Linked DNA regions of Kluyveromyces lactis. The protein of the gene in region 2 interacts with the protein of the main gene of each other region in a pairwise test. Links are inferred from orthologs where the notes say so. Each region holds a gene or a part of one and is shown on either strand. Other genes may lie near its edges.

Region 1 (3,034 bases), about 1.2 Mb from region 2:
ATCTGATCCAATACTCAATTAGTTTCTGGGAAGTGGAATAGTACATGTTGCGCGTTAAAGGGAGGCATTCTAAAAGCATACTAAACCCAAAAAAAAAAAAAAACGATAACTATACTAATACTAATCATAATAGAAAACAAACATTGTAATAATTAATCTAGCCAACCCACATGTGTCAATGTGTTTTCCATTCAACAGATAAAATGAGGATTTAGACCTTAGTGAACCCTTTACTTCAATTCACTTTTAATATTTCACCTGCTCAAAAACTCAGAAAGAGTTCTCTCAGGATCATCAGTATCAGCATTATGTTGCAATCATAGGTATACCCACCCCTTACCCTTTAAAGTATAACCACTTCAAATAATTTACTTCTTATGTACACTTAGCATGTTTCTGAACTAATTTCAATTAATGAATAAGTCATTTTTTAACTATTATTATTAGTTGATTACTCGATTAATTATTTATAAAATGCAATGGATATGATTATGAAGTAAGAACATCTTGAAATGATGGGAATGCGAGACCGCAAAAGTAGCTCGGGGATGTGAATGAGCTTAAGATCCAAAAGAACTCGGAAGTGAAAAATTATCATAGTGAAGTGGAAGATGCAGGTGATGATGAAGCGTAGTCGCTAGGGTTCAGCTCTTCATAAGTACAGTGCTTCAAACACCAATCATGGATTTTGTTCCATGTGCCAATTTTTTTGTATTTGTGAATTAATGCATTAAGTTGTGTTGTTGGCTTAGCAATATCGTTTATCAGAATTTGTGATAACTCTTTTAACTCTATCTCATTATCTTTGAATGAAAAGCATGAATAATAATCCCATAATTCGTCCCATTGGAAGTCTTCATGCACGATTCTTTGTGCAGTGAACATTGCCACGGACGCAATCTTAGAAGGCACTACGTCGATGAAGTGTGGGCACGAAATCATATATCCAATTAAACACTTGCCCAAAGTTCTAGTGATTGAATCGTACTCATCACATCTGGATATTCTTCGTAGAAAATTTAATGGGTTAGGCCATCCGATGTTGTATTCCAGTTTATTCAGAATGACAAACTCGGCCTGTTTGATTTCATCGTTGCTGTAAGCATTATCTGTGATATATGAGTAATTTGATAGCTTAGGAAGATTCACCTCCTCAAACTTGGCGGCAATCAATAAAGACGTGATTGCAATTAATTGTAACTTTGGTAATGTAACTTTGTTAAAAGAAAGATATCTATCCATGAGGTTTATCGAAAGGTACAACGTTTCCGGTAACAGTTGAAACTTACAATGAACCTCTATAATCCAATCAACGAGGATCGATCTCATCGTCGGTCTCAAGTAAAATTCGTAATTTTTATCCTTCAAATAATTGATCTTTGGCGTAGTTTCAAACTGTCTCGTGTAAAGATGGTCAAAAATATCATCCGAATAATCATAACACATCGTTACATCTTCTTTATCCTGGGAGTCCAATTCTTCTCTACGTCTTTCTAAGCTCTCGCATTTCAGTCTCTTATGACTTTTCCTGGGCTCTAGAATATCATCATCTGAACGCACATCTGATTTTTGTTCCTCATCATCATCATCACGGTATATCTGTCTTTTCAACGACACTGAACTCGTTGTCTGTGAAGAGTTCCCATATATCTTATTTTTACCTTCATCGACTTGTGAATTCCTCAATGACCCGACTGAAGATTTCAGTTTATTATCGTGGAGTGGCTGCTCCGATAGCGCGACACGTTTCCTTTGGTGTGAAGACTTCTCCATTGCTTCTGCGTCACTAACACTCCAGCTGCTCCTGGTTCTCGGTCTCATCTTAAAATCTATACTCTATCGTTCTGTCTCCTAGTATGTGGTAAACATATATGCTGTATATATATATATGAAAACAGTTTCAACAGGATAGAGAAGAACTTAACCTGTTAGCGGTAACCCAGCCAGCCAATGTCACCAAAATCTTGGACCTGACAGACAACACACAAATCGCGTCTCTTTCTCTTATTGTTCTTTCTTGGCCCTAAAACAACGAGAAAGATACAATATACAGAAAAACACCGAGTAATCGACCGTGCATATCCAGTGGAAACAAACAAAATCTGTTATACACGCTTTCATAGACTAACAGCAGGTCATAAAATTCGTGAAGTTCCTTTGGAAGCTCTAACAGGCCTGTCTTGGTTCAAGGACTTTCCAATTTCGCTTTGTAGATTCGCATCTTCGCAAAGTGCTGACGCGTCAGCACGCCAAAAACGAAATTTGAAAAAAAATTGTTTCGCGTCTTCGCGTTGTCCGGATCTCAATCACGTGACCAAAGTATTCCGGACAAAATGGAAACTGTCAATTTATTTTCACGTGATTTAGACGGGAAAAAAGTCCCGTTTTCTATTTCTGATGAGAGAGAGAGAGAGACTCATTAGTATGCGACATACAGCGATTATCGCTGACTCCTCTTCCTTCGAGCGATTTGCCTGGCATATATCGTACCGGCTTACAAAGTCAGCCCAGTACAGCCAAGGAAAAAAGGCAGACGTTCGCCGAGTTCTATCAGTCTTTCGCTACTATTCCTCTATCTTATCGGTCGGTCTTTCTTAGAACGAACAGATAATGAAAATCTGATATCGCCATACGGCTCCATTGAGATTTATCAGATTAAAGGGCTCGAAGAGACAAAAGGTACACCGTTCCATAGTTAGATTATATAGTACGAGAAACCTACCGTAGGTATATAAGTAAGGTTACAACCGATTTTTGGGGGGTTTTGTCCAAGATATAACATCATTTTCTTTTGTATTCATCTGATTATTAGGAAGAACACTATCTATTAACTAGATAAAAAGCAGCGCAAGGAATATGGAAGGGTTCAAGTCTAAGTGGGAAAAATTTAAGAGATACGTTTCTGGGAGTCCAGTTGAAGGTGAGAAATACGATGAGGCTCCTAAGGTCGAGGATTTGCCTCATATGGTCGATGCAGACGGTGCTCTTGTTGCAGTTTCTTCCGGGAAACACGATTTGTCCCCGGTGATGTCTG
Region 2 (3,623 bases):
TATAAAATCTTCTTTGCCTCTGCCGGCCACGGTACGTTATTCGATTATCCAACTGCCAAGAATTTACAAAAAATAGCCTCTGATATATATGCTAATAATGGTGTTGTGGCTGCTGTTTGCCATGGTCCGGCAATCTTTGATGGTTTGACTGATAAAGATACTGGTAAACCGTTGATTCAAGGTAAAGTTATTACTGGTTTTACCGATATTGGTGAAGAAATCCTAGGTGTTGCCGATATACTAAAACAAAAGAAGTTAGATACTGTGGAAGATATCGCTAAGAAGTATCATGCAAAGTACATGGCCCCAATTGGTCCATGGGATGATTTTTCGATTGCTGATGGTAGGTTAGTTACGGGTGTCAATCCAGCATCGGCTAGTTCAACCGCAAAGAGAACTGTTCAAGTATTGAATAGCCTTAACTGAATTCCCTTTAGTATTTTTAATGGAGTGAAATAATTCCTGTTAATTACGTCAGGCATTTTGTCAGTAGCTACTTTTGTATGGTTTATTATGTAAGCTAGATAATTACCTATTAACAAAGTTAGTTTATCCTGATTATTGTATTTATAGTGTTACAATGGAATGGACTATCTGGAGCTAGTCCGGAAGGCACTAAGATACATAGGATACGGGAAATTTCAGTTGGTGATTATCCTTTTTTACCCAGTTGGCATCGAAATTGAATAAAATAGTACGATGTGGAATGATTTTCTGTCTCTGGAAAGGAAGTCTGGGGATGCGTGTCGGGAGTTTACCGTACTGTTTCAATCTGTTAATATCATATGCTCGGGATTCAAGTGTTCCCAAAATGGACAGTTGTTGTTCAAAAGAAAGAGCAGGTACTTTGTTAAAGTTAAGTACCTTTTTTGGACTTAATTTAGTAGCTTGGCAAGGATCAAAAAATGGATTGGAATATCTGTGGCGGTCACATTTCACATTATCGCTGTTTGAATCATTTTCATCTCCTTCTCTTACCAAGACAGGTTTGATATTCATTTTCTTAAATAATATCGCCCCAATACTAGACCTGTTTGAACCTGGCTTCTCAGATGGTGCATCGTTGAGCCGAAGCTCGGAGATGTCATTGGAAAGCTGTGTGATAGTTTTATTTGGATCATTTTCATTTTGGTGTTCCGGCAGTAAGTGTTCAAATTTTGTATTTAATTGTAGCCACTTTTCCGCATGTTCGTTGGTAACGGTTGCAATTGATTCATTCAATATCGAGCTTTCAAGAGCATTGTATATTATACCGAAGGTCTTATCAATAGTGTACGATTTGCTTCTCAATTGATCATGCAGTTTTGTTTTCAGCTGCTCCGAAAGATCAGGGTTGCCTACCTTCAGCAGCAGTTTCTCCACATCTTTCAGCATAATCCGTAGCTCGTCATTCAAAGTTGTAAATATGAGAACCCATTTCTCATCAACAATTGCTTGCTTTAGGTCTCTGAGTTCAACTTGTAGTAGTTCATACTTATCCAATATATATTGGTATTTCTTTCGCAGCAATCGCATGAGATATTCCAAATTGACAACATCACGGGTCTCGAAGTTATCTAATCTTTCTGAAAGGACATGTTTTAGTGACAAATCTATAGGTGCCGAAGAATCTTCCAACTGTGTAAGCTTTTCATGAATCTTTTGCTCTGAAGGAGAAAAGGCAGGGATCTGAAGTCCTTTGGTAGGAGAATTTGTTGAAGACAAAGTTTTAATCAATTGATCCAAAGTGAAAGTAGGTTTATTATGTCTTACAGGAGATTCAAAGTTTTGCTCTTGAAGTTCAATGCATTTAGACAAATTGTTTTCTATCTCTTCATCTAGACTGTTCATATGATCTTTGAATATTTCGTTGAACTCTATGGCGGTGTCGAACAGGTTTTTTAATGATGAGATGATTGGTTTTATGGACACTAATGTATCTGATATCTCCTCTAATAAATCAAAAAGTGCAGTCAACTCCTTCTGGAATAGTTCATCTTCATTACACCCAAATTCCTCTTCGATGATTTCCATCAGATGCAGCAACACCTTTTCGATGGTCTTTATCCCGTTGAAGAGCTGATAAAATTCAGATCTTCCCTCTTGAATCCAATCAAAATACGGTAAGAGTTGAGAAACGCTCACATCATCAGAAAACAGCTCTGCCAACAGTGTATGAGACTTTAACAGTAATTCTGCCAGACTACACAAGTGCTGGTTGGTGCTATCCAAATCAAACTGATAATCATCAAAAAACAAAAGAATATCTTGATATTGCTGTGAATTACTCCTCAATGAGATAGATAGTCTCTCATGAGGAAATCCTTTCAGCTCCTCTGCCATAGTATAGAAGCTTGCTGAAGCACACCTAGTGTGGACAATGGATCTCTGCTTCTCTATCGCCTACTGTTTTTCCGTTTCGTAACCCCATGCCTTTGTTTACATTTTAACTAATCTTAATTATTGATGATTTCATTTGAAGTAACGGGAAAAGTTGCTTGGTAGATAAGGCACGTAGAGGTCAGGAAGCTTGCAACATCAAAAGATTAATGCTTAGATGACTTCCATGGAGAGCTGAAATTATATGAATATTAATATATTTGTTTGATTGGTACCTTGTATGTTGTTTATGTGTATATTTATATGTTAATAATACATAGTACCAACTCTGGTGCACTTGTAAGATACCTATGCAGTGTAAGAAAGGAAGGTGGGAAATTTCTTCAATTACTCATGGCCTGAGCGTTGAAGTTTTTTGATCGTGACTGATATCTTCTAAAACTTGATGTATAACTTCTTCTTGCAGTCTCTTCTCGTTCTGATCTTGTGAGTTTTCTTCGTGGTCAGAATTTTGATCTTCACCAGAATCATCTTTGCCATTTTCTTCTGTTTGTGGCTCAGATTCTTGAGTTATGGCAGGTGGAGCGTATTGTTGGTGCTGGGAATGCTGCTGTTCTGAAGGTTCTGTCAATAATTTGTGTAAAGCACTATCATGGTTGGCGTAAAGATCTTTGAACTTACCCATTTCCACAACTGAACCATCGATGCCAAGTACAATAACATTCTCGGATCTTCTGATTGTGCTCAATCTATGAGCAATGCTGATAATAGTTAATTCTTTGCTCTTCATTAACCTCCCCAAAGTGTAGTTGATAGCGCCCTCACTTTCAACGTCTAGGGCAGATGTAGCTTCGTCGAGAATCAAAATTTTAGGTTTATTTAATAACGCTCTAGCGATAGCAATACGTTGTTTCTGTCCTCCACTGAGCAAAGCACCACGAGGCCCAATGATAGTTTCGTAACCATTAGGGAATTTAGATATGAAAGCATGACAGAAGCACTTTTTTGCTACAGATCTGATTTCTTCCATTGAAGGTTGCCTAGAGACACCATATGTAATATTCTCTCTTATAGTACCAGACATTAATATTGGCTCTTGTTGTACCACACCAAGTTGTCTTCTAAGGGATTTCGAACTTAATTTTGTAATATCTTGGCCATCAACCAAGATTTTACCGGATGTTGGATTGTAGTACCTCAACAATAACGAGGCAATTGTAGATTTCCCTCTTCCTGATGGACCTACAATACATACATTAGAACCTGGCTCTATTGTAAAGTTGAGATCCTTAAAGATTTGATTT
Region 3 (4,190 bases), on a different chromosome or scaffold from region 2:
TATTTGTCTGGGATACGGCTTGGAGGATGTCTGCTTTGGCTGTTGTTAAAAATCGCATCAACTGATCCGAGGAATCATCAGTGGGAACGACGTGCATGGAAAAGAAACGTGCTGAGAGTGATGGGCTTAGTTGCCGTTATTTGCATTTTGAAATGCATATAACGGTGTATCTTCCCTCTAGTTGCATATCTGGAATATCTGACGATTTTCGGAGAATTTTGGAGAAAAAGAAACTTTTCGGAAAAACTAGGAGGCTGCACCAGAGATAAGCAGAGAGAAGACGTTGCTATATATTACCCGGGACAATATATGCATTCTAGGTCATGTGACTGGAAGCTTCCCTCTCTGGTTGTCATGTCGGAGTTTGCGCTCAATTCGTCGTTTATACAGGAATCTATTTTGTACATAGTGGATTCTCTTAATCTACGCCGAGATTGTTGAAACCGGACCTGGATTTGGCCCTCATTCTTTCTATACGTGCCTTTAATTGGTTCGTAACTTCTGCAGCTCGTTTCCACGATTCCTCTTGCAACATATGGTTGTTCAAGTTTAGGGAATTGACACGTCTAGGTAGATCGTCGCTACTTTCACTAGGCGATCTGACCCTTTGAGGAGTCGTAGCATTTTTAGTAGATCTCAGAGGTGATAAGGTAGTTGCTGTTAATCTTCCTCTGCTAATGGACGAGGATATGGGTGAATCTGTTGACATGGTATCGGAAGTACCGCCCGTCAGTTTACTCTCTAACTCCTTGATCTTTAAATTCTTAGCGTTCAATTGATCCTTCGAATCCTGCAATTGCCTTTGTAAATTGGAAACGTATGTCTCAGACTCGTTCAAGAGTTTATTTACTTTGGAAAGTTGTAAATTGGATTGATTTAAGTTGGATAAGAGATCGTTGCGCTCCCTTAGCCATTCTTGTCTCTCTTGTCTTAATTTGTTCACTTCATCGTTTAAATGTGACATTCTGTTGGATATGTTTGTCTGTGGTGTGAAATTGCCAGAGAGGCTTGTGTTGGAACTGGTATTAGATTTGGGTTGTGTTGAGGAAGGCAGATCCGTATGGTTCATCATTTGATGAGTAGTTAGAGACCTTGAAGTCAACCTGGACGACTTCGTGTTGCCATTCAAGGCAGAGTTACGTGCCGGTTTCAATGGAGAAGTGGCCAGTCGTTTTGAAGGGATCGTTGAAGACAAGGGTTGGGATCGTACTACTGGTGCCGCTGATCTTAATTGGGTTTGCGGTTGGGTTTGGTGTGGAGGTGGAACCGTTGCCGCCTTGATCTCCACTTTATCAACAAGTTCAAGGATCTTCTTCCTTTTCAAGTTATCGAGCTTGTCCAAATATGTTGATAGTTCTCTTTCATCGAATATCTTAATTAAGATAGCAATACACTTGAAACCCTCATTTCTTGTTGCCTGTTGATTGTCGTTTACAATGGGCTGCAAAGAATTGAGTATCGCTGGCAAATTGGAGAATACCGACGTTCTATGAAGAGTTTCAGTCGGTGTCCAATTGGATAGCAACTCGAAAAGAAATTTCGAGCATACAATTTTTACCTGTGGTACTTTGTTCTTCATGTGTTGTAACACAGACTCGAGACATAGCTCTAATTTATAGTACTTTGAAAGGTTCAGGAGAGCATTGAAAATAGAATCTGCGACGTTTGGTTTTTTCTCCTTTGATCTAGTTAGGAGAGCGTTTAAAGTTTCCAATGCGAATGGGTTATATTCTGATCTTAATGCGGATATTAGTATATCTAAACTGCTGGTAGATATTTGTACTGCTTGTAGGTTTGCATCGGAAGTGATAGTCGAGCAAAATTTGTGAATGATTTCAGAATGATCTTCATTTGATGCTGACAATTTTTTAACCTTGGTTAAAGTCTGATCGTGGAACTCTTCTAAAGCTTCCACTCTATCCTTCCATTTGCTAGACGCCAAACTCTGATAGAAATTATTCGGTAGCTTATCTAATATAGTTTGTACGGGGAACATATCATATGGATCGATTGATTGGTTATCCAGAGCAGCGGCAGACTGGCCGTTATTACCTGCCATTGCTAGATCTCCGTCATGATCCAAGGGTAAATCAGTTGAATTGTTATCACTCTGAGCCGGGACTGCCCATATAAACTGAGACGGTGTTGAAGAAGGCGGTATAGTGCCCTGGTACGATTCAAACAGTTTATCCAGGTCCTTCTGTTGTATGGGCTTCAACTTCCCCAATAGAAGCTCTTGAAGTACAGGTTTATTAAACCATGTATATAGTTGTAAAATCAACTGCATTGACTCATTCCTCACAGATTTATCCGCATGTGAGCAAAGTTTAGGTAAAACTTCCACTAGACCCTGTAACGATTGCATCTTCTCCTGTTGAGAAACGTTCACGAACCCAAACTGCTCTATCAACTTTACATGAACCATTAACGCTGCAGTCAACAGCTTCGGTAATTTTTTGGTCCAAATCGGCGTCAGACAATTGATTGCATTTACGATATTATCATCCAATGACACGACAAGCGAAACGCAGGCCAATGAAGCCTCTTTCGTCGCTGATTTCGAGGAAGTCATACCTTTCTCCACCAGAGCTGGAACCCAGCCCTGAACCAATTGACCCGGCTGACACAAATCTCTGATCTGGGGTACGTCGATCATAAATTTCAACAAACTGTACAAGGCCTTAACGGCAGATTCTTGTGCAACAACATTGGAATCCAATACGTACCCCGTGAAAATCTCAGGTTTCTTCCAATACTTATTAACGCCACTCTCTGCAACTCTAGCAACGGACAGTTTATTGAATGTGCTTTCTAGCTCATTATATCCATGCTGTCTTGCCTTCCAAAGCTTATGAACAAGTCTCTCATCTAGTGACAGAGTCTGAAAAGACGCCGAATCATCCGTAGCGTTATCCATGGGAGATATACACACGCGATACAGCTGGCAGCACCCTGTGTTGACTCACTGACCGTCTATTTTATTCATGTTGTCTCGTCTGTTTGTTTGTTTACTGGTTGATTTTGATTGTTTTTGTTTACAGAAACGATTGATTTCAAGTCATGTGATATATCACGTGACTTTGTTGATATGCTTTGGATCGGGTTTGCAGAAACCTGAATAATGGGAGGGTAGGATCTATTATACACGTACACGCCCCTCCAATCACTCAATCGGCGCTGATGCGTGTTGGTTGAACATTATACAGTCAATTCAAGCCATTCAAAACACCGTTACACGAGTGTTGGCGCTTCCACCTGCTTACAAATGGACGGGTTCTAGCTGATTCCAGCTCTCGATTCCTGATTAGCAAGCAAAAATTTGTCAAAAACTCGATATTTAACCAACATTATTATATAAAGGAAGTAAGATACATTTAAAGGTTATTTAGTTGTCTCTTCGATTGATTATCGGATAATCTGATAACTTTCTATCCTCATCAAATAAGGTACAATTTATCTTTACTATCCCCTCCAATTTCATATATAATGGTCGCTCAACTTACTTCCGCATCCGAATTCGAAAAGGCTTTGACTGACGACAAGTTGGTCGTCGTCGACTTCTTTGCCACCTGGTGTGGTCCATGCAAGATGATTGCCCCAATGTTGGAAAAGTTCGCTAAGGAATACGAGGGTAAAGCTACCTTCTTGAAGGTTGACGTTGATGAGTTGCCAGATGTTGCAAAGAACAACGATGTCAGTGCTATGCCAACCCTAGTTTTCTTCAAGTCCGGTAAGGAAATTTCTAGAGTCCTAGGTGCTAACTTGGCTGCTATCAAGCAAACCATTGCTGCTAACGTGTAAAATTTTTTGTACACTGCTTATAATATACATTTTACTATATATATATCAGAATAAATTCTTTACATTTCTATTCTTTGATCATGGTTTCTATCTCCTTCTCAGTGTGCCCCAGGATGTATAGGACGTCTATCATTGTATCACTGTTTAACTTACATGGGGCTTGTTCTTGGACCTTTGGCTTGGCGTTCCATGCGATTCCGAACCCAGCTGCGGCCATTGCGTTCAAATCATTACCACCATCTCCGACCATGACGGTGGATTCGATCGGAGAATTGTACTGTTCTGCAAGAGCCACCAACGTCTTGGCCTTGCGCACTCCGTCAACTATATCGCCGAGTGCTTCACCGTTCAATTGTTCAGTACCGTCATCCGACACTTCCACACCCAGA

Evidence for each region.
Region 1: the proteins of KAR9 (region 2) and KLLA0_D15565g interact in a two-hybrid assay, tested with the Saccharomyces cerevisiae proteins (2 studies listed by BioGRID). The link is inferred for Kluyveromyces lactis from reciprocal best matches to the Saccharomyces cerevisiae genes KAR9 and CLB5.
Region 3: the proteins of KAR9 (region 2) and STU2 interact in a two-hybrid assay, tested with the Saccharomyces cerevisiae proteins (2 studies listed by BioGRID). The link is inferred for Kluyveromyces lactis from reciprocal best matches to the Saccharomyces cerevisiae genes KAR9 and STU2.

What each region holds. Positions count from the first base shown.
Region 1 is NC_006040.1:1,315,531-1,318,564, forward strand, and holds KLLA0_D15565g (uncharacterized protein), read right to left. Parts: upstream 1,822-3,034; coding exon 595-1,821; downstream 1-594. Other genes in the region: KLLA0_D15576g (uncharacterized protein), read left to right, coding at 2,857-3,034. UniProt on the Saccharomyces cerevisiae protein: Required for efficient progression through S phase and possibly for the normal progression through meiosis. Interacts with CDC28.
Region 2 is NC_006040.1:67,129-70,751, forward strand, and holds KAR9 (Kar9p), read right to left. Parts: upstream 2,323-3,623; coding exon 616-2,322; downstream 1-615. Other genes in the region: KLLA0_D00704g (uncharacterized protein), read left to right, coding at 1-426; ATP-binding cassette permease MDL2, read right to left, coding at 2,711-3,623. UniProt on the Saccharomyces cerevisiae protein: Involved in karyogamy. Component of a cortical adaptor complex that orients cytoplasmic microtubules. It may be involved in anchoring cytoplasmic microtubules to the cell cortex.
Region 3 is NC_006041.1:1,460,431-1,464,620, forward strand, and holds STU2 (Stu2p), read right to left. Parts: upstream 2,918-4,190; coding exon 419-2,917; downstream 1-418. Other genes in the region: thioredoxin TRX2, read left to right, coding at 3,487-3,801; SER2 (phosphoserine phosphatase), read right to left, coding at 3,869-4,190.